Drosophila melanogaster: one gene and its partner. The protein of the gene in region 1 purifies or fractionates together with the protein of each later gene. This does not show direct contact. Each region holds a gene or a part of one and is shown on either strand. Other genes may lie near its edges.

Region 1 (3,740 bases):
GACCAGTTTGTATGATACTTTGAATTGCAGTGGCTTCACGTCCAAAGTAACCAGTCTTTTATACACAACTCAGTTAGCAATATTCTATTTGAACCTCAGTAATAGTTTATGTATCTAGATATAGAATATTCTCTATTCTTGTAAAGCAATCAAAATATTGAAAAATACTTCATTCGCTAAATATAAACATCATAAATAATTTAGCTGCCTTTTGCTTTCAAGAAATTTTTATCGCTAACGGTGAAAATGTGGAGGGGCAATAACATTTCTGGAATTTTCTAATTAACTAAGTTTGCAATTTGGTTTGTTCTGCGTTTATAAATGTTGAAAGAAAATTTCCAACTGATTAAGCCATCCGAAGTGGTAGAATGACTGCAGAGAGTCGTCCAAACTAAACAAACTAAACTTTCTGTCCGCAGGACGAGTAATCCGACTGGTGGTTAAAAAACCTATTGAAATCGAAAAGGTTCCCTGATTGGTTTCCTTACAATATTATGGAAACCTTACTTGTTAAGGGTCCTTTAAAAATGAAGATACCATCATAACAGCGGTCCCCTGGTCGTAATTAATAACGTTTTTTGAATATTGGCTTTTAATCGTGTTCAATTTCGTGGCAAAACTTTTGAAAAAAGTATCTTAACTTTACAACAACTTTTTAAGCTTTCACGGTGATGGCATCAGGTCATTCGTCAGTTCATCATCCTTCTGATACACTTTGCGGATTTCTTTCATGGCTTATCCAGTTCTGCAAAAACTTATCGTACTCCCTCCGGCTGCGGCAAAGAATTACAAGAGAGGAGGGTCGACAACCGTGCGATTTCAGTTCTTCCATGCGCTCCTTTGTGGTTTTCAGGCTGTGGCATAGAATTCGAGGATTTTGAGCGACCTCAAATCTGGTAAACTGGGCCTCATCGAGTAGGTAGTCTAGCACCTCTTTGATCTGAAGGCAAAATTGTATAGCTTATGATTGTTTGAGTTAACCCATTGTGACTTACCTTGGTAACTCGCACGGTGTGCACCTGCGGATGTTTGTCCATGATTGCCTTGGCTTCACTGGTGCTGAAACCAAGACGATGCGCTAAGTATTCCACCACGGAGGAGAACTCTCCCAAAACCTTCAGTTCGTCGAGAGAAAGCTTCAGGGAGCGCTGCAGTATTGGCTCCGGGCAGCGCACCATCCACGGCATGATCTTGTCCTTTTTCGCCCGCTTGGCGCGCTCCAAACGCAACTGAACAGACTTTGGAGTATAGCGAAAGGCCCATAGATCCTTGAGTACGTTTATTGGCGACACATTGTAGTCGATCATGTGCTGCAGGTTCTTTTCGAACATCTCGAACGGCATTTCCAGGATAAACAGCCTCTTCGATAGATATTTGCTCACAATATCGGGGCTGACATCCAGCTTTTCGCTGATATAGTAGACACGATTTCGCTGTGGCATTGCATCCCTCTCAGAGTTCAGAGCACCCACCAGTTTTCGAAGACGTGGAACAGTGAGGCGCAGGAAAGGCACAAAATGATTGATGTCCTTAAAGTCCATTGACTTGAGTAGCTGCATCTTTAGCTCCAAGCGTTCTGAATAGATAAACAAATAACCGATGATTTAATCACATAAAGGATATAAAGCAAATGAGCTTACTATTGTCCAGCGACAGTAGCCAAGGATACTCCACGAAGCTGCGCCTGCTAACGCCCTCTAGCTGCAGTGTGTCCATGACCAGAGTCAGTGATCTACCGCGGTAGCAGCGGTGCACCAGCTCGTCGCTGATTATCTTTTGGAGCTCAGCGTCCGTGAAGCGAAAACGTTCCCGCAGAGCTTCGAGGAGCACCCGCGTCTTGGTTCCAGTCTCCCGATCCTGGCGATAAGGCACATAATCGTTTTCCGCCTCGTTGCTACCTAAAGTGCCACTGGAGGTCAGTCTGCTCGGACTGGCGCGGTTTTCGTACTGCGAGAAGAGTAGGCGCCTGCTGCAGTGCATTGGGTGCATATTTAAGCCGGCATGCAGCTTGAGTGCCGTCTCAAAGCTGCGCAGAAGGCTTCTAATCATCCCGAATTTGCTTAATTTACAGAATCAAGACAGAAAATAAAGTTCTTCAACTTATAAAACAAGCGGAAAACAGCTGATATGTTGCGGCGATAAACAGCTGACCAAGTGGGCCAACTGAAAGCTGGAGTATACGACACTCAAACAATTATCGTTATCGGTTTTGAAAATAATGACCGTTATTCGGAACAGCAATTTAATAAATTTAGCATTTGTTTTCTAGGAAAATATAATAACTTTTCTAGGTGCAATTGATTTCATAATATGTTTAGGAAGTGTGCTGGTTCATACACAATAACATACACATACACTTTTTAAATATAAGTGTGAAACACTTCCAATATTTATTTTCAAATCTACTAAGCATTCTTAGACAGAGAGTCCCACAATTGAAATCACTCCCATTTTATCAACGAACTTTTTGATTTTATTTTCAAAAATACTACGCTCCAAAGCTAATCGGAACATTAACGCTAAACAAAGACTTGTAGGATTTTGAACAAATCATGAAAACATCTATCACAAGCACTACTCCACATCGATGTCTTTTGTGACGCGACCCACCCAGTAAACGAATCCGGTCTGCACCACGGTGGCCATGAACTTGACGTTGCCCTTGTAGCCTGCTGGCGGAATCCAGTCGAAGGTGATGCCGGTCAGCGGCTTGCCCTTTTGCGCACTCAGATGGGTGATGGTGTCGTCCTTGCCGGAGCAGTCCAAGGTCTGCGAGTGCACGGAGTCCACCACCTGGAACTGGCCGACGACGCGGTTCTGGCCATCGCGTGCCTGGATCATGAAGCCAAGGAACTCATCGCCGCCCAGCGTCAGGGTCAGCTTTTGATCCGAGCGCACATGGGAGGGTCCGGAGATGCTGTACGGCGGCTTGGTCACCTGCAGCTTGGCTCCGTGCTGGGGCGTCAGGTCACGACAGGCGGCCTTTGGGATAATGAAGATGGGAATATAAGGAATCTATCCGTCATGTATTTCGATGGGGCAGGTTCATACCTTTGGAGCACCATCGGAGTAGGCGTGGACACTGATGGCCAGGCAGGCCGCAAGAACCAACAAACGGAACATATCTGTTTAAGGGAAAATTAAAAATAATATCACATGAGTTGGAAACATCGCTTTAGTAACGATTAAAATCCAGTTGGTTGGCTTAATTATGCTACATCACTGTGAAGAACAGTCCACGTAGTGACGAAGCGCACCAAGTGAGTGTGCGAAATCCTTCCATTTTCCATAACCGAATATGCTTAAGCAGAACAAGTTTTAATGACACAAGTACTTGTCAATGTTTCTACTTTCAACTTCTAGTGCTTTCAAGTTGAATCCAATTACATATTAAAATATATTTACTGCCGGTCATTGTTTAACATTTTTAGATTCGTGCATGCTGCTTAATTGCGTTAACTAGTTTTTCATAAATTAATTAATTAACATTTCCACTCAAGTGAGACTTTTTTCACTGGCCTTGGCCAGTTTGACTTTGCTTAAGTTTTTTATTTATTTAGTTTTTTTTTTTTCCTTTTCAAAGTTTACACTTGTATACGTGGGCAGGCGCAAATATATTGAAAACTAGCTCCAATTATGCAGTTTGTCAACGCCAACGTTTATTATGCAGTTTGTTCGGTCCCAGTTGTCGCCATAATGGGTATATTTCTCTGCAGCCTTGACTGTTGACAGTCTGTGAT
Region 2 (3,753 bases), on another chromosome or scaffold:
ACAAGCTATTTACAATTATATTGGAGGCACCTACAAGCGCTCCATAATCATTTTCTCTGCAGGCTTTACGCCGTACTTGTAGACCTTATTGAGACTTTCCGGAAAGTCGGGCAGTAGATTGTTGAAGTTCTCCACGTGATGTGTATGCTGCTCCGTCCAGATGCCGTCGCCCGTGAAGTGGAACTCCGATTCGATTAGGTAGAGAATGAGAGTCAGAATTTCGTTGTTGCTTAACGAATCGAAATTCGCCACTGGCAACTGCAGATCTTCTTGCGCATCGGGTGATTGCAAAAGGAGCATTTTTTCTTCAATACGTTTGCTGTGTAGAAACAAAAAGTATTAGGGCAAAATCGCTTGTAAATTAATTGTACCACTCACATGGGATAAAGCAGCAAGTGTATGTTCGCAAATATCTCATTAAGTTTAAACTTTTTGCTGCGTAAGTACTCCAGACACTGCTTCACGTGCAGCAATGGTATATGGCACCAGTTGGGATGGCGAGAGAGAAGATTGCGCAGCACTTGCACGTCCTTCCCCAAAACATTACTCAAGTAGACGACTATATCGCGGCCTTTAGTACGATCTGAGCCATCTCTGGCAAATCTGGAACATGGTTATTTGATTAGTCAGTCAATAAGCTGATAAGATTCTTACTTAGCGAACGCCTCGGACCCACAAGAAAGGATGTGCAAGGAGGCGCACCGAACCCGCAGTTGATTGAGATAATCCAGACGCAGTCGCGCCTTGTTCTGGTAGTGGACCAGTCTCAGGATTCGCGGATTGGTACCCAAGACTTGAAACTCCTCGATCTCCTGCAGATCCCTTAGTCGCTCCAGAACCGTATCCGGTCCAAGGGTGAGCACTTCCAGGCAGCGGAGAACGGCATCCTCACTGATGCCGAAAGCGTGGACGTGCTGCAGTGTTTGCTTCAAGCTATCGCAGGTGGACATCAAAATCTTGGGTCTGCGAAAGCCGATTTCTCGTATGTCCTGCGAGTCAATGGTAGGCACCTCTCGCAGGATGCGCCGCACGTTATCTGCTTCCGAATAGAGCAGAAAACTGTTCTTCCTTAGCCGCTCGGCGGAAAAATTAAACTCTTTGGTCAGCAGTTCAATGGTGTCCTGCACTGCTCGAAAACTCTTGTGGCGGATGCGCGTGTAAACGCGCCACAGCTTCTGTAGATCGTTGTCGTCCATCTGGAGACGTTCACGCAGGTAAGCGTTGATCAGGGATTGTCTCAAGCTCTTCAGTGTGAGGGTCTCACTCTCCAGCTCCCGTAAATCCACCGGCAGCTTGATATCCTTAAAATATCCCGCCAGACGCTCCGCCACCTTCACATCGAAGGGGATGTAATTATGTGCCTTCAAGACTTCTATCGGCTTGTTGACCACCGTCACATACTTGGCCAGCGTTTGGACAGTCACGTTGTGGAAGCCGCACTCCTGCAAGACACTGTGGCGATTGGCCAAAGTGGTGGCGCCATAATAGATGATCATGGGTTTCGCTATGATGTCGTCCACACTATAGTCCAGTGATTTCAAAGTGTCGTAGGAGCTTAGCAAGTCCTTGCGCTTTAACGTCTTGAGCTCTGGGTGCTTCTCTAAGGCTGCCGCCCAAGAACGATAGGAACTACCTATAAAGACGCAATAGTGACTCCCTAAATCAACTTTAAAGCCTTAGCTTACCCAGAGTTTTGGACAAATAGCTGGCATTCAGCGGCTCTTCCATCGGAATCTCGACTGTCGGTGGCTTTGGCAGTTTTGGCTTGAGATCCTCCTTCTTACTGCTGACCCGTTTCGAACTGGCCATTCCCCGCGCCAGCTGTCCAAGGCTCCGGGCCAGCAATTGCGCTTGATTCTGGCCGTTGCGCAGCATAATTATAACATTTCCCGCAGATTTATTTACAAACGGCAAAGAAACGTAACTGTTATCGGGGTGAATGACAACTGTTGCAGCTAGTGATGGGAGCACATATATACAAAGGGAAAAAATCAAAATATAATAATATAATATAATTTATATTATATATTTAATATTTCTAATATTATTTTGTTCAATGTTTGAGTTGCAAAAAGGCTTTGAGTGTGCAGAAAATGTATTCTCCCTTGATCTTGTGGTAGGTAATCAACTATCGATACGGCCGGCAAATCAATTTCATCGATACGACGACGGTTGTTTTCACATCCCTAACCCCGCAGCGTTGTTACACGTGCGCGTGAATTATAGTTTATTTGACTTGGTTTTTATTTCAAAACATTTAAATATGTCGCTTTTACGCATCAGGTAAGCATTGGAGATGAAGCCCATGAAATGCAAATGAAATCAAACCAACTGCGCTTCCAGGAAACCAAAAACCCGCAAGGGAAAGAAGGTGTTGCTGGCCAGGGAGCCGCAACTCATTGAATCCGCCCGCACAATGCTGTTTTTGGACGGAAGGAAGTGCGGCGGCAATGTGAAGCTGTGCATGAAGGACCTGCAGGCGCTGAAGAAGCCGCTGGTTAAAGTGCTGAACCGCAAAAACGACATTACCCCCTTTGACGATCCCTCATCTCTGGAGTTGTAAGTTTGGACAAAGCAAACAACTAAAATGTAGTGTATTTAATTGTAAACATCATTCGAATCACCAGCTTGACCATGAAGAACGATGCTGCTTTGTTCACGTTCGGTTCCACGTCCAAGAAGCGACCCGATAACATTATACTGGGCAGGATCTTCGAGAACGAGGTGCTGGACATGTTTGAACTGGGCATCAAGCGGTATCAGGCGATTTCCGAGTTTAAGAACGAGAAAATCGGAGCCTGCGTCAAGCCCTGCCTGGTGTTCAATGGTCCGAAATGGGCACAGACCGAGGAACTGAGGCGCCTTCGCAACCTGTTCATCGACACCTTCCAGCGCGAGAAGGTGGATTCGATCCGGCTGCAGGGCATCGAACACGTTCTGAGTTTCACGGTTACCGATGACATGAACATACTGATGCGTTCCTACCGGATACTGCTGAAGAAATCTGGCCAGAGGACGCCGCGCATAGAGCTTGAAGAGATCGGACCCTCGGCCGACTTCTCCATTCGCCGCACCAAGATCGCCAGCGAGGATCTGTACAAACAGGCACGCAAACAGCCCAAGCAGTTGAAGGTGGGCAAGAAGAAGAACATTAGCACAGACGCCCTGGGCAACACCAAGGGACGTGTCCATCTGGGCAAGCAGCAAACGGGCTCCATTCAAACGCGTCGCGTCAAGGCGCTGCGTAAGACGCCGGAGGAGAAGAAGGAGAACCGACAGCGCAAGAAGGTTGCTCTGAAGGCGGCCGCCGCCGAAGCACTGGCCTCACAAGGAAACAATCCCTTCTCTAGTTAATTTTAGTTGTAATAAATTGGTCCTGATTAAATTAGCTTTAACAAGTGTATGAGTTCTGGAGTCGTATCAGTGTATTCCGTCGACAATATTGCGAATGCGCCGCGTCTTGGACTCGGCCAACGCGTCCTCCAGCGTTTTGATCATGTGCACCAGACTGCAGACATCCGTCTGCACTAGCAAATCCTTTCGATGCAGCCGCTCGTCCTCCTGCATGGCCTTCAGCTCCTGTTCGCTGCGCCCGGAGATGTCCACCGCCAGCAGCTCTCGGTTTTCATTCTTCGGTTCGGTGTGCAGATATAGCTTCATAGTCACCACCACCTGACACTGATCCAGCAGGCTCCGCGACGCGGTGCGCACCTCCAGTCGCCAGTCCAGGTTGACCAGCCGATAGGCACGTAT

What was found. The genes of interacting proteins can lie anywhere in the genome.
Region 2: the proteins of mTTF (region 1) and mTerf5 fractionate together in Drosophila melanogaster (co-fractionation; one study listed by BioGRID). This does not show direct contact.

What each region holds. Positions count from the first base shown.
Region 1 is NT_033779.5:14,346,658-14,350,397, forward strand, and holds mTTF (mitochondrial transcription termination factor), read right to left. Parts: upstream 2,134-3,740; 5' UTR 2,050-2,133; coding exon 1,641-2,049; intron 1,577-1,640; coding exon 996-1,576; intron 941-995; coding exon 698-940; 3' UTR 582-697; downstream 1-581. Other genes in the region: l(2)34Fc (lethal (2) 34Fc), read right to left, coding at 2,575-2,982, 3,052-3,123. UniProt on the Drosophila melanogaster protein: Transcription termination factor. Binds promoter DNA and regulates mitochondrial replication and transcription.
Region 2 is NT_033777.3:18,221,556-18,225,308, forward strand, and holds the start of mTerf5 (mitochondrial transcription termination factor 5), read right to left. Parts: upstream 2,128-3,753; 5' UTR 1,876-2,127; coding exon 1,686-1,875; intron 1,634-1,685; coding exon 655-1,633; intron 604-654; coding exon 379-603; intron 320-378; coding exon 31-319; 3' UTR 1-30. Other genes in the region: Non3 (putative nucleolar protein 3), read left to right, coding at 2,264-2,283, 2,344-2,559, 2,628-3,354; CG7168 (uncharacterized protein), read right to left, coding at 3,421-3,753. UniProt on the Drosophila melanogaster protein: Binds promoter DNA and regulates initiation of transcription. Regulates mitochondrial replication and transcription. Required for normal topology and maintenance of mitochondrial DNA (mtDNA) levels.